Linked DNA regions of Arabidopsis thaliana. Changing the gene in region 1 together with any one later gene gives a genetic interaction. Each region holds a gene or a part of one and is shown on either strand. Other genes may lie near its edges.

The links.
Region 2: of SKB1 (region 1) and SUS2, changing one suppresses a phenotype caused by changing the other (phenotypic suppression), as found in Arabidopsis thaliana (one study listed by BioGRID).

Annotation. Positions count from the first base shown.
Region 1 is NC_003075.7:15,130,967-15,138,994, reverse strand, and holds SKB1 (SHK1 binding protein 1), read left to right. Parts: upstream 1-2,298; 5' UTR 2,299-2,426; coding exon 2,427-2,567; intron 2,568-2,679; coding exon 2,680-2,797; intron 2,798-2,888; coding exon 2,889-2,998; intron 2,999-3,082; coding exon 3,083-3,172; intron 3,173-3,306; coding exon 3,307-3,372; intron 3,373-3,585; coding exon 3,586-3,665; intron 3,666-3,757; coding exon 3,758-3,833; intron 3,834-3,919; coding exon 3,920-4,006; intron 4,007-4,122; coding exon 4,123-4,183; intron 4,184-4,334; coding exon 4,335-4,426; intron 4,427-4,537; coding exon 4,538-4,573; intron 4,574-4,694; coding exon 4,695-4,763; intron 4,764-4,960; coding exon 4,961-5,029; intron 5,030-5,137; coding exon 5,138-5,191; intron 5,192-5,270; coding exon 5,271-5,345; intron 5,346-5,456; coding exon 5,457-5,549; intron 5,550-5,634; coding exon 5,635-5,738; intron 5,739-5,835; coding exon 5,836-5,884; intron 5,885-5,961; coding exon 5,962-6,048; intron 6,049-6,164; and 10 more. Other genes in the region: AT4G31130 (keratin-associated protein (DUF1218)), read left to right, coding at 530-619, 1,217-1,431, 1,554-1,836; AT4G31115 (DUF1997 family protein, putative (DUF1997)), read right to left, coding at 7,148-7,262, 7,353-7,411, 7,633-7,718, 7,802-7,847, 7,940-8,028.
Region 2 is NC_003070.9:30,115,263-30,121,314, forward strand, and holds the start of SUS2 (Pre-mRNA-processing-splicing factor), read left to right. Parts: upstream 1-2,584; 5' UTR 2,585-2,789; coding exon 2,790-3,073; intron 3,074-3,208; coding exon 3,209-3,332; intron 3,333-3,405; coding exon 3,406-3,498; intron 3,499-3,589; coding exon 3,590-3,980; intron 3,981-4,065; coding exon 4,066-4,546; intron 4,547-4,642; coding exon 4,643-5,433; intron 5,434-5,515; coding exon 5,516-5,784; intron 5,785-5,880; coding exon 5,881-6,052. Other genes in the region: AT1G80060 (Ubiquitin-like superfamily protein), read right to left, coding at 1,040-1,292, 1,367-1,449, 1,543-1,642, 1,721-1,820, 2,067-2,262. UniProt on the Arabidopsis thaliana protein: Functions as a scaffold that mediates the ordered assembly of spliceosomal proteins and snRNAs. Required for the assembly of the U4/U6-U5 tri-snRNP complex. Required for embryo development.

The DNA.
Region 1 (8,028 bases):
AATAATTATACGATCAAGATATATTTTTATTTTGTAAATTATAGTAATATCTATATTCAGAATAAAAAATAATATGAGGAAGTAAATCAGTTGAAAATCTCTATTACGTAGATTTTTTTATAAAGAAAAATAAGATGATGAATACATGTGGAAGAAGATAAATATGGAATCTTTTATTTTTTGGTCAACAGAATCTTGAAGAGCCCAAAACAACAACAACACTCGGAGACTTTTTAGGGCTCATCCCCGAATTATCAGTGCAAGTGGATCGAATTAAACCAAAATCAAAACTAAGCAACCTAACTAACCATATCTTCCGATTTCTCTTATCTCTCTGAAGCCACAAATCTCCAGATTCATTCGTCGTCTCGGTGAGTGTTTTTCTTTTACAGTTCGATTTTTCCGACTCTGTTCGTTGATTCGATTTTCAAATCTGATTTATGTTTTGGGGGAAATCGAATTTGATATCTGTGTGCTCTCGGATATATTATATAGGTTAAGGTTAGACGGAGAAGAAGATACAACAAATATGGCGGTTAGTATGAAACAAATGTCGTTGGTCGTCTCTGCTTTGGGCGTCTTATCCTTTGTTTTGGGAGTTATCGCCGAGAACAAGAAGGTACAAAAAAAAGTCGTCTCCTTTTGATTATTTCGTGAGAAAACTTTAAATTTCCTGTTTGTTTTCGATGATGATTTTTGTTCTTCTTCTTTGTGTTTATCTACTACTACCACATAAACAATTCCTGTTGCTTTTTGGCGCAAGTTAGTTTTTTTTTTGCACAGGAAATAATCACTCTGGAATTGTATGTATCAAACAGTGATCTAACTATGGATGAATCAATTGTTTTGATTTCCTGTTTCTTTAGGATGCTTTGGTTGTTATTTGTGCTATTCTCTGTGAATGGAGGATGTCAAATTTGTTTTAGTCACAGGACTATGACTCTGATATTGTGATATTGTTGGATTGTATGAAAAAATGTGATCTTCTCACAGCTTCATAATTGTATCTAATGATGGGAAACCAATGTGATCTTAACTGACCCGTAGCTAAATCTTACTCTTTCTACACAATTGTTTGACCTCATCATTGTCACTGATCTCTCTAGGATACCGTATGTCAAGAGCTTTTCATAAGTGGGTAAACCACTTCGGCTTTCTTATTCTTATGTGTTACTGATTGTGTGATTTGTTTCTGTTCTTTGTGTTTTCATCTTAGCCTGCGTCTGGGACTCCAATAAGTGGAAAAGGAGTAGTTATCTGCAAATACCCATCTGATCCAACTGTTGCCTTGGGATACCTTTCTGCTGCTTTTCTCCTTGCCTGCACTGTAGCAGGATACAAATCCTTGTTCATCTCTTACAAGGGAAAGTCTGTTCCTAACTCTGTCTTGTTCAAAAGCACCAGCTTCTCTGTGTTCTTCAACATTGCCTTGTAAGCATTTCCTCTTCTTTTCAAGAACACAGTAGCTAGACCATTACAAATATTCTTGGATTCCGGTATTATAAAGCCTAAAAATAGGAGTCTTTTTGTGACCTATGGTTATTGTCGTGTAGGATAACATCTGGACTGGCCTTGTCTCTGTTGCTCTGGCCAACCATTACAGAACAACTTCACTTGACCCGTAATGTTCACCGAAACTTAGAAACCAGTTGCCCCACGGCTAAGACCGGTCTGCTTGGTGGAGGTGCCTTTGTGTCTTTGGACTCGTGCCTTTTCTGGTTGGTTGCTCTGATGCTCGCTGATAACGCCCGTGAAGACCATTTTGATGAAGTTGAAAGCAGAAGCATCGATGGGAACTCTTCCTCCAGGGATGTGAATCTCAAGATTGATGCTTGAGAGAATGATATGCTTTTATTGGTATTGGGTATAAGAAGGGTTTTTCATTTGTTTTCTACTTGTTTGATTAGGAAAATAATAATTTGTTTCTTCTGTTGTTTTTTTTTTTTTTAATGATTGGCTAGAATGTTATGAAACCCATCTCTGCACCTTGATGCATTGTGATTCATAAGCTGTATCTGTGAAAAATAATCTTTTGGTTATATCTCTTACATTTGACATAATTGATATGAGAAAGCACTTCAAATCACACACTATATCAACATTTTTCTTTCTAAGAATATGTAAATATTCACTTGAATTCGGGTGGCTACTAGTAGTCTAGTACTACTATCACAAACCATAAGACTCTTTTATGTCAAAACCAATTAACATGTTTAGAGCCAATGGTTGGAGCTTGGGATGGCATAAATGGGCTAGGTATAGCATATCATAAAGCCCATTAGAAAAGCCCGATATAAACTACAGATCAGTAAAATTAAACCCTGTCAAAAACCCTTTCGTTTTCGTCGTCCGCTCGAGAAAAGAAGATTCACTTCCATCTGCAAATTCCTTCACTCCCTGTGAGCTCAATAGAGAGAGAAGAAGAGATGCCGCTCGGAGAGAGAGGAGGATGGGAGAGGACCGAGTCCAGATACTGCGGCGTTGAGACTGATTTCTCCAACGATGTTACTCATCTTCTCAACTTCAACATTTCCACCGGCGGTTTTGACTATGTTCTCGCTCCTCTGGTTTGTTTCCTTCTTCTTCCTCGACTCTCACGTCCTTGCCTGTTGTTACTGTATCAATTGGGATTTGAAATTTTATATCTTTGACGGAGTTTACTTCTTTCTCTTCCTGCAGGTGGATCCTTCGTATAGGCCGAGCTTGGTGGAAGGAAATGGTGTAGATACTCAGGTTCTTCCAGTCTGTGGCTCTGACTTAGTCTTGTCACCTTCTCAATGGAGCAGTCATGTTGTTGGTATGATTCTATTTGCTTCTCCACCGTGTGATTTTGTACTCGTTATGAATATGATGGGTTTTGATTTGAGTGGTAAATCTTCATTCTCTAGGAAAAATTAGTTCGTGGATTGACTTGGATTCTGAAGATGAGGTCTTACGGATGGATTCAGAAACCACATTGAAGCAAGAAATAGCTTGGGCTACTCATCTCTCCTTACAGGTGCTTGTGCATCTATGGATTTAACTCACTCTCTTTGTTTTCTTGCCTGCAAAGTGATTTTGAAGAGAAATTCTTTTGTTGCAGGCATGCCTTCTTCCCACTCCTAAAGGGAAATCGTGCGCCAATTATGCCAGATGTGTGAACCAGATCTTACAAGGCCTCACTACCTTGCAGGTGGTTTACGAGTTTCTTGCTGCCGGTCTAGCTTTATTTCAGATGAGACTTTTCTTTACAAGATCACCTTCAATCAAGCTCTAACATTTTGTGGATCTTCTTTGTTTTGTTTAAATGTCATTTCTGCGCTGAAGTTATGGCTAAGGGTTCCACTGGTGAAGTCTGAAGGTGATTCAATGGATGATACCTCAGAGGGACTGGTAAGACATTGGATCAAATTTTATGCAAACTTAAGATTGTTAGTACTTTTTGTGCCTTCTCAGATTTTTAAGGGACTCTCTAATGCGGATCCCTTGGAATCACTTGATGTGGCTGCCTTTTAAACCTAGAAATACAAATAAATGTCCCTATCTGTTCACGTTTTTGTACACTTTGTGTGAGGATTACTTTAATATATACTCTCTTCTATGCAGAATGATTCCTGGGAGCTGTGGAATTCGTTTCGTCTTCTTTGTGAGCATGACAGTAAGCTGTCTGTTGCTCTTGATGTTCTGTGAGTTGAGAGAAACTCTTGATTATTGTTGTTAATGTGGACCCAAAGTTTTTTTTCCACTCTACTAACATAACACCATTTTCTTCATATAGGAGTACACTACCCTCTGAAACTTCACTAGGGCGCTGGATGGGAGAGTCTGTGAGAGCAGCCATATTAAGCACTGATGTAAGTGCCTGACTTCTTGCCGCATTATTATAAACTCCACTTTGAAGTATTGCGAATCACAAAATGCCTCTAATTTGGCGTTGCAGGCTTTCTTAACAAATGCTCGGGGTTATCCTTGCTTGTCCAAACGCCACCAAAAGTTAATAGCAGGATTTTTTGATCATGCTGCCCAGGTAACAAACATCCCACTCTTTGTGATATAGAAATAAATTAAAATCTTCTTTTGACTCACAAAAGAGATCTATTAGACTCGATCTGGTGCTCATTATCATCAATCTTGTAAATGCAGGTTGTAATTTGTGGAAAGCCTGTTCATAATCTTCAAAAGCCTCTTGATTCTAGCTCGGAGGGTAATTTTTCTGTATAATCTTTTGTCCTCTGAAAATTAGCTATTATCCTCTGGGCTTGTTTTCCGTAGCTCAATTTATCACGGGCATTGTTATAATCATAGTTGATTCCAAGTTTTGAGCTAAATATTTTATTACGGGCATTGTTTGTCAGGTACAGAGAAGAATCCTCTGCGCATATATTTGGACTATGTTGCTTATCTGTTCCAAAAGATGGAATCACTTTCTGAACAGGAACGCATCGAGGTCGTTTTTTGCATCCTTTTGCCTCAGTCCTTCTATGTTTTTTATCACTAGATGCAAGCTGGCAGATACAACTCTATTCTGACAGTTATCTAAATCTTACTCTTTGTACAGCTGGGTTACAGGGATTTTTTGCAGGCACCCCTGCAGGTTAGCCTCTTTTCATAAGCAATTCTGATTTCTGTCCGTTCATCATGATAATTTACCCTGTATGAAAATGCTCTATTCTTACTGTAAAGAGCCTCTACTGTTTTTTTTTTAATGAATACAGCCTCTTATGGACAACCTCGAAGCCCAAACCTATGAGACGTTTGAGAGAGACTCTGTTAAATACATCCAAGTATGTTGCATATTCTAGTTTTTTCCCCTCACATCTTAAATTTTAACTCCTTTGGTTTCTAGATTTCCCCTCGTCTATTTCTGCTTCGGTTTGCAGAGGAGAGTGGACTGATGGATGAATCATGTTGAACAATTTAATATCATAGCCTGGTTTTTTTTTAAAGCATGCTTAACTTTCGTCCATCTTTGTGTTGTTAGTATCAAAGAGCAGTTGAGAAAGCCTTGGTGGACAGGGTACCTGATGAAAAAGCATCCGAGTTGACTACTGTATGTCATATGTCAATGTTTTGCTTACAAAGTGGCATTTTCATTTATAAGTTTTTTTTCTGCTATTCATATGAAATACTTCAGTAGGACTGAAATTTTAGTTTTTAGGTCCTGATGGTTGTGGGGGCAGGAAGGGGACCCCTTGTGAGGGCATCGTTACAGGTAAAGTCCTGATGCACAAGGAGACATTGAAAATTCATTTGTTTCATTAATCAAATGTGTTCATTGTTTCCTTTACCAGGCAGCTGAAGAAACTGATCGGAAGTTGAAAGTTTATGCCGTGGAAAAGAATCCTAATGCCGTTGTAACACTCCATGTGAGTTGTCAGCACTGAGTCGATTAAAAAATTGCTAATTTTCCTGTGATTTCATTCGGACGTGCAGTGTGGTTTCTAATTAACTCAGAGCATTGTTATTTTTTCTGATAGAATTTGGTTAAGATGGAAGGATGGGAAGACGTTGTTACGATAATATCCTGTGACATGCGTTTTTGGAATGCTCCCGAGCAAGCTGATATATTGGTCAGTATGTACAGATTTTTGTAGCTAATACTCATGCTGACATTATATACAGTTCATCTAATTCTCGTTTGCCTCTTCTATGCAGGTTAGCGAACTGCTGGGTTCTTTTGGAGACAATGAACTTTCTCCTGAGTGTCTTGATGGAGCCCAAAGGTTTCTGAAGCCAGACGGAATTTCAATACCATCCTCGTATGTGTACTCCTTCGCTTAGTTGAAATTTCATAAGAAACTCATCTGTCCTTTTGTTTCTCTAACTGGAGGAGGAACATCGTTATTACTTTTTCAGGTATACAAGTTTCATACAGCCTATAACAGCTTCGAAGCTTTACAATGACGTAGGTTCTTCTGCTTTTTGCTATGTACTCGCAAGAGTTTTCAGATTAACTCAAGTTCTTTTTCATCCATTTGGCAGGTTAAGGCTCATAAAGATCTTGCGCACTTTGAAACTGCTTATGTTGTCAAGCTGCATAGTGTAGCAAAGCTTGCTCCTTCCCAGTCTGTGAGTCTCTCTCTGTCTCCAGCATTTTCTAATAGCTTAAAGTGTTCTCTTTAAATACATTTATGCAAGTCTTGTCGATCTGACCATCTCAGGATTTTTGGTTTGGTCTTAAATAGGTTTTCACATTTACTCATCCAAACTTCTCAACGAAAGTCAACAACCAACGCTATAAGAAGCTTCAGTTCAGTCTACCAAGCGATGCTGGCTCAGCTTTGGTGCATGGTACCTGCTTTTTTCTAGCCCTTTTTTGTTTGTTAATGTCAATTTTACATCTCCATTTCCGTAATCTGAAACTGAATCTACTGCGATCATAATAGGATTCGCTGGCTATTTTGATTCCGTCCTTTATAAAGATGTTCATCTTGGGATCGAGCCTACAACAGCAACACCAAACATGTTCAGCTGGTAATGGATTAATGTCTATAAATGTTTTAAAACAGAGCTTTCTTCTATCGAACCTCTTACTTCAACCGAGAGAAAATCGTGTTCCTTTTGGCAGGTTCCCAATCTTTTTCCCATTGAGGAAGCCTGTGGAGGTTCACCCTGATACTCCATTAGAAGTACACTTTTGGAGGTGTTGTGGTTCCTCAAAGGTAAAAAAAGTTGAAACCACAAGATTCCATACAACTAACTCTTTGTCTAAAGAACTATTATTGATCCTCTGATTTTCGGGTTCAGGTTTGGTATGAATGGTCGGTGTCTTCACCTACTCCATCTCCGATGCATAACACCAATGGCCGTTCGTACTGGGTTGGCCTTTAGGATTAGAGACTTTTGACTGATGACGAAAAAGTTATGTAATCTTATTGTGCTGTATTTTTGTCACAAGAAAGACTAAAGTTTACGAGTGAATCAAATCTCTCTTGACCTTATTTATGTTTGTACTTTTTCAGTAATTTCATTGCACTTTTAATACAAAGCTATCTCTTTCATCTCAAAAGGCCAAAGTATACAAGTGAATCAAATCTATTTTGTTCATTTAATTGTTTGTACTTTTTGCAGTAATTCAGAGCTATCTCTAATACACGCTGTAATCTCAAACGGCCAAAACGACCCAACAAATCCTGCCTCGGCCGTTTGACAAAACATTGGTAATAGATTAAGAAGTTGCGTTTAAGGAGTTCCGTTGCTGTTTTTTAATCCATTCGTCGTAATCTTTAAGTAATTGCTGAAGCAGAAGGGGAACCAGTGTATCGACCAGTGTCTGCATTACTCTGCAATCATCGTATCAAAATATAACATTACTCGGGCACTTCGAGCCAAGAAGCAGAAGAAATGTAAAACGAACAATAATGTACACTTACAGATTCCCAGGAGCCTCAACAGCTGATACTGGAAGCATTGTGAACGGTCGCGTTGAGATCTGCCATGAACAAGGGGGATTTTGATGAACATAGGAAACAAAGCTTTTTCATATACACAAAACCGAAATGAGAATCATAAGTCGACATGACCTATCCACACAATGATGGATCACAGACAACCATCACGGTACAGTGCAGTATTTGATACTCTTAAGGCTAATAGGATTGCACGAGAATGAAGTTATGAAGGAATGAAAGAAACTGAACTGCAATACACTACCTCTAGAGTGACATTCAATCTCACGTCAACTTCCAAAAATGGCTCTGGATGTTCCATGTTCCAAGTCATGCAGTTTGTCATTATTGCTGTGAACCAGAAATGGGAAAACACTTGTATTACTTTTGAAACATTAGATACCAAGTGCTTTTCTTCACAAGAGGAAAGTTACCTGAAAACCTTTCACTTTGGTTCTCCAATAACTCTGATCCTTCCAACTGCAAGACAGTGGTTCAAAACATTTGTCGGTAAAAGGAAAACAATAGAATATATATCTGCTAAATCAGAACGGGAATCTTCATCATTCAACCTTGCAGGAAAGCAGCTCAACTGTACAATCTTCCTGTGTGGGAGTGACCCTTAAAACCAGTACTGGATAAACTTCAAAACTCATTAACT
Region 2 (6,052 bases), on another chromosome or scaffold:
TGACCTGTAACAACCTCAGTGGCTGTGCCTTGGGGATTACTTTACTTTATTGAGTGGTATACTCTTCGTGGATCACAGAATGCAGAATAGACGAGAATGAAAGTCTTCAAGCCTGGCTATAGATTGACACTCACTGTCTACTTCTGCACTTGCTTCCACCGTTTCTGCATTTTTTCACTTTACCAGCCAAGAAAGCAAATACAAAAGAACAAAAAAACAAAAAAACAAAAAGTTTATTATGAAGACAAGAACAAAACCCTTACACTCGTCCAAGAACTAATCCGATCATTAAGAGCCAAAATTCGATTGTTTATCTAAAGACAAATCTCTCAGAGCGGATTCTTCACTTTCTCAAGATGTACAAGGAAACAATATTCTCAAGCTCAAAACAACCTGAGAAAGTGGTGACCAGCTTACATCTAACATTAATTCAATGAGATCCTGGTTCATTGGTGAAACAAACTTGAAACTACTAGGAAGGTTTCAATCGAATGAAAACATTAAATTAGATGTGAACCATATGGCACCCTATGAATCCAGATTGTCAACAAGTTAACTTTATACACACAGACAAATATGACAACGATAGACAGTTTTTACTTTTTAATAAAACAGAGGCAAGAAGATGAGCATATGCTAGTGGTGGGGCGTGTCATTCTTAGATTCTCGGGTGGAACATAGGTTTGACCAGCAAAATGGTGAGGCCAATTATTGGGCTCAGTAGGTTGGTATGGGTTTAACCATTTTCAGCCTATATAAGGTTTACCTTGCCATATTACTTCAAAATTATTCAAAATCAACACAAATACTCAATCCATTCTTGTTTTATCACAAATCAGATGATCTTACTACTGTGTTCTAGGCTGAATTTATGCGAATAAAAATGTACCTTCCTTCAGCTTTCACAATGCATGAAGATAGATATGAAATTTGTAAAACTATGGATCTTTTGATACAATCCTGGACAACAAATTCATAAACCAATAATCATTGGAAGAGATTAAAAAGGGGACATAGGAAGAGGTTGTGACTTACGGATTTACATCTTGGGTCTGCCACCGAAATGCTTCAAAGAAAATCTGGAGGGACCACTGCGACACTCGGGTCCTTTTCTGGAAACTCCCCAACGTCCAGCATATGGCAACCATCCTTTAATTAAGTTAACTAGTCTGGATTCTGCTGCCGGTAACTCGTCTTGTGCTCCTGGATAACACTTCTCAGCTACATCATCCACACCGTTCTGGTTTTGGTTTTGTATTTGGATTTCGTTGACAATGGATGACACATCCAACCTACCATACAAGGATTCTTTAGCAGAGCATTGAAATGCAGAGACGATATAGGAAGATTGTTACAAAGTACTTACTCGAGGTACCGCTTGCAACTCGGGCTCTTGGATCTTTTGTTCATAGGAGAGTGGTCTATCGACAAATGCCTTACGAAATGTAACTGAAATAGAGTGAAAGGGATGTTAAGACTTTCAAAGGAATGAGATTGCGTGCATACGATTCTTATATAGAAGTGAGAAGGAGTTTAACGAACTTGGTCTCCATCATTGAGACCGAGATAACGGATGCTAGTCTTGTCATTGACTAATCTCTGGTCTCGATAACACAAGCAAAAATGACCCCAGACGTGAGACCTGTAGGCAAAGATCAAAGTGAACGACTGTACCAGAAAGCTTAAGCTGTGAGAATTTTCATATGAAATGATGATATACCATGAAATCATGCCGTGACCTTCCAGAGGAGAAATGGTGAATACTTGTTCCACAGCTCTTTTGAGCTCTGCCACTGAGCAATCCTTTGCAACTTCCACATCTATTGATTCGTTGGAAACCATTTAACTTCTTGAGAGGCCAAATCAGAAACAGTAACCAAAAAACTAGTTGATACTTCATCCAAAATTATGTCTATTAAGGCTCTTAAACAATGATTTCTAACAGCAACAAAAAATTCCGGATTAGAGATCGATTAGGGTATCACCAACTGAGGGAACCGTTGAGCTTGATTGTAAACTAAACTCTTAAAATTGCTATTTCGGAAACTGGATAAGCAAAATCGTACCGAAAAGGGAGCCGTTGAGCTTAACGACGGAAAGCTTGATACGACCCTGAGGAGGAAGTTTCAGGTAGGAAGATCTCCGTCCAGAAATCGAACCACCGTCGTTTAAAGCAAACGATGACAAGAAGCGTGGATCTATCAACGACCTCAGTCCTCCACTTCGACGACCGTCCCTAACCGGACTATGCTCTTCTCGCATTGCCGATTCTCCCGGATTTTCACCGACAAGATTCTGCTCTCTTTGCTCTTCTTCTTCAGCCTTCAGGTGACTGTTGAGGAGCTGAGCGAGCGAGCGAGAGAATCGGGAGAGTTTGTTTTCCGGGGAAAAACCGCAATTACTGCTATATAGCTCCCCAATAAATGCCAAAACAAAAAATCAAATTAAAGTTTGTCAATGGGCATCACGGCCCAAATCTAATAATCAAAGGCCCAATAACTTGATTCGACAATACTTAGCGGGTTTGGATAACCGCCTAAGCATCTGTTCGACACCGCCTATTTTTTTTTTTTACTTACTCCTCCTGATCTGCTGATATAAGGCCGAACGGGAATAAAAAAAAAAAAAAAGGAAGAAGCGACTCACCCGAAAATGTTTTAGGGTTTTTCTTTACTCGATTAAGCTCACTAGTTCTTCGCAACGTAGTTAGAGATCGACACTGGCGCGGTGGATTTAGGGTTTTTTTCCTCCGCGACTACGCTCGGCGTTTCGATTTGGAACCCTAAGCTATGTGGAACAACAACGATGGTATGCCCTTAGCTCCTCCTGGTACTGGCGGGTCCATGATGCCGCCACCTCCCGCTGCTCATCCTTCTTACACGGCGCTTCCGCCGCCTTCTAATCCGACTCCTCCGGTCGAGCCTACTCCTGAGGAAGCGGAGGCTAAGCTTGAGGAGAAGGCCCGAAAATGGATGCAGCTAAATTCCAAACGGTACGGCGACAAGAGGAAGTTTGGATTCGTTGAAACTCAGAAGGAGGACATGCCACCTGAGCACGTCAGGAAGATCATCAGGCTAGTTTTCTTCTCTTCTTTCTCTACCATTTCGAAATACAGTTTACTTGATAATTATTTTCTGGCTAGGTTTCTAAGATTTGGTTAGGATTTACTTATTTTGAGACTGAAGCTGCGATTTCTTTCTTACTTCAGAGATCATGGTGATATGTCATCCAAGAAATTCCGTCACGACAAACGTGTATACCTTGGAGCCCTTAAATTCGTCCCTCACGCAGTTTTCAAGCTCTTGGAGAACATGCCTATGCCCTGGGAGCAGGTACATTTTTTTTCCTTTAGCTTCAGCTGTTTTCATCGTCTGTTCATTTATCTAAATCCTCATTTTCTTTCAGGTCCGAGATGTAAAAGTTTTGTACCACATCACCGGAGCTATTACATTTGTGAACGAGATACCATGGGTTGTGGAACCTATTTACATGGCTCAGGTTGGTGATTAGTCTTATCTCTTATTTACTGTCTCTGTGCGCTGATGGATTTTCAATAGCTTTTGATGGTTATTCCATTCTTGTTTTGCAGTGGGGTACTATGTGGATTATGATGCGAAGGGAGAAGAGGGATCGTCGTCATTTCAAGAGAATGCGGTTCCCACCTTTTGATGATGAGGAGCCTCCACTAGACTATGCAGACAACTTGCTGGACGTGGATCCTCTGGAGCCAATTCAATTGGAGCTAGATGAGGAAGAAGATTCTGCTGTCCACACTTGGTTTTACGACCACAAGCCACTCGTTAAAACAAAACTGATTAATGGTCCCAGTTACCGGAGGTGGAACCTCTCACTTCCAATCATGGCAACCCTTCACAGGCTTGCAGGCCAGTTGCTGTCTGATTTGATTGATCGCAACTACTTCTACTTATTTGACATGCCATCTTTCTTCACAGCAAAAGCTCTGAACATGTGCATACCTGGTACGCCATTTTCCTTCTATGCTCCAGTTTTTATATTTTTGCTGCGGGTCCATTGCTTTTAATGCATTCTCCTACTCTTTTCCAGGTGGACCCAAGTTTGAACCTTTGTACCGTGATATGGAGAAAGGGGATGAGGACTGGAATGAGTTTAATGACATCAACAAGCTCATTATTCGTTCCCCTCTGCGTACTGAGTACAGAATAGCTTTTCCCCATCTCTACAATAATCGGCCCAGGAAAGTAAAACTCTGTGTGTATCACAGTCCTATGATCATGTATATAAAGACCGAGGATCCCGATCTTCCTGCATTTTATTATGATCCGTTGATTCACCCAATAAGCAACACCAACAAGGAAAAACGTGAAAGGAAGGTTTATGATGATGAGGATGACTTCGCCTTACCAGAAGGTGTGGAACCTTTGCTAAGAGATACCCAACTCTACACTGACACTACAGCTGCTGGCATATCATTGTTGTTTGCCCCACGACCTTTCAATATGAGGTCTGGGAGGACGCGCCGCGCAGAAGATATTCCCTTGGTGTCAGAGTGGTTCAAAGAGCACTGGTAAGCTATTTGTTTTTATTCTACTTTGGTCCTCTTTACCGTTTTGAAATTTACTGGTGACCGTCCTAATACATATTGTGAACTCATTAACTGCAGTCCTCCAGCCTATCCGGTTAAAGTTCGGGTTAGTTACCAAAAGCTATTGAAGTGCTATGTGCTGAATGAGTTGCACCATAGACCGCCTAAAGCTCAGAAGAAGAAGCACTTGTTTCGATCTCTTGCAGCTACAAAGTTTTTCCAAAGTACCGAACTGGATTGGGTTGAAGTGGGTCTGCAAGTCTGTCGGCAGGGATATAATATGCTGAATCTGCTGATTCATAGGAAGAATTTAAACTACCTGCATCTTGACTACAACTTCAACCTCAAGCCTGTGAAAACTTTGACCACCAAAGAGCGAAAGAAGTCACGTTTTGGGAACGCTTTCCATCTGTGCCGTGAGATCCTCCGCCTGACAAAACTTGTAGTTGATGCAAATGTCCAATTCCGACTTGGTAATGTCGATGCCTTCCAATTGGCTGATGGTCTGCAGTATATTTTCTCTCATGTTGGCCAGTTGACGGGTATGTATCGTTATAAATACAGACTGATGAGGCAGATTCGGATGTGCAAGGATTTAAAGCACTTGATATATTACCGTTTCAATACTGGTCCGGTGGGTAAGGGTCCAGGGTGTGGATTTTGGGCTCCAATGTGGAGGGTATGGTTGTTTTTCCTTCGGGGTATAGTTCCTCTTCTTGAAAGATGGTTAGGGAATCTTCTTGCTCGTCAATTTGAGGGGCGTCATTCAAAAGGAGTGGCCAAAACAGTCACAAAGCAGAGAGTTGAAAGCCATTTTGATCTGGAGCTTCGGGCTGCTGTCATGCATGACGTCCTTGATGCTATGCCAGGTTTCCATTTTTACAAACTTGTTTATCAACGATGAAATTGCTTTGCTTTATTCTTTGGTTAACATTTTCTGATAATGTGCAGAGGGTATCAAGCAAAATAAAGCGCGGACTATATTGCAGCACCTTAGTGAGGCATGGCGGTGCTGGAAAGCTAATATCCCATGGAAGGTCCCTGGGTTACCTGTGCCGATTGAAAATATGATCCTGCGTTATGTCAAGTCTAAGGCTGATTGGTGGACGAATGTTGCTCACTACAATCGTGAGCGTATCCGAAGAGGGGCTACTGTTGATAAGACAGTTTGTAGAAAGAATCTCGGAAGGTTGACTCGTCTTTGGCTAAAGGCAGAACAGGTCTGTTCATTGTCTTAATGACTTTGTCATTTTTGTTTGAACATTTTATGAAACTGCGTTATATATTGATGCGTTATCCTTGTAAAACTGTTACAGGAACGACAGCACAATTACCTGAAAGATGGTCCGTATGTCACTCCAGAAGAAGCACTTGCAATTTATACAACTACTGTTCATTGGCTGGAATCAAGGAAGTTCTCACCAATTCCATTCCCTCCATTGTCATACAAACATGACACAAAGTTGCTCATCCTTGCCCTTGAGAGAC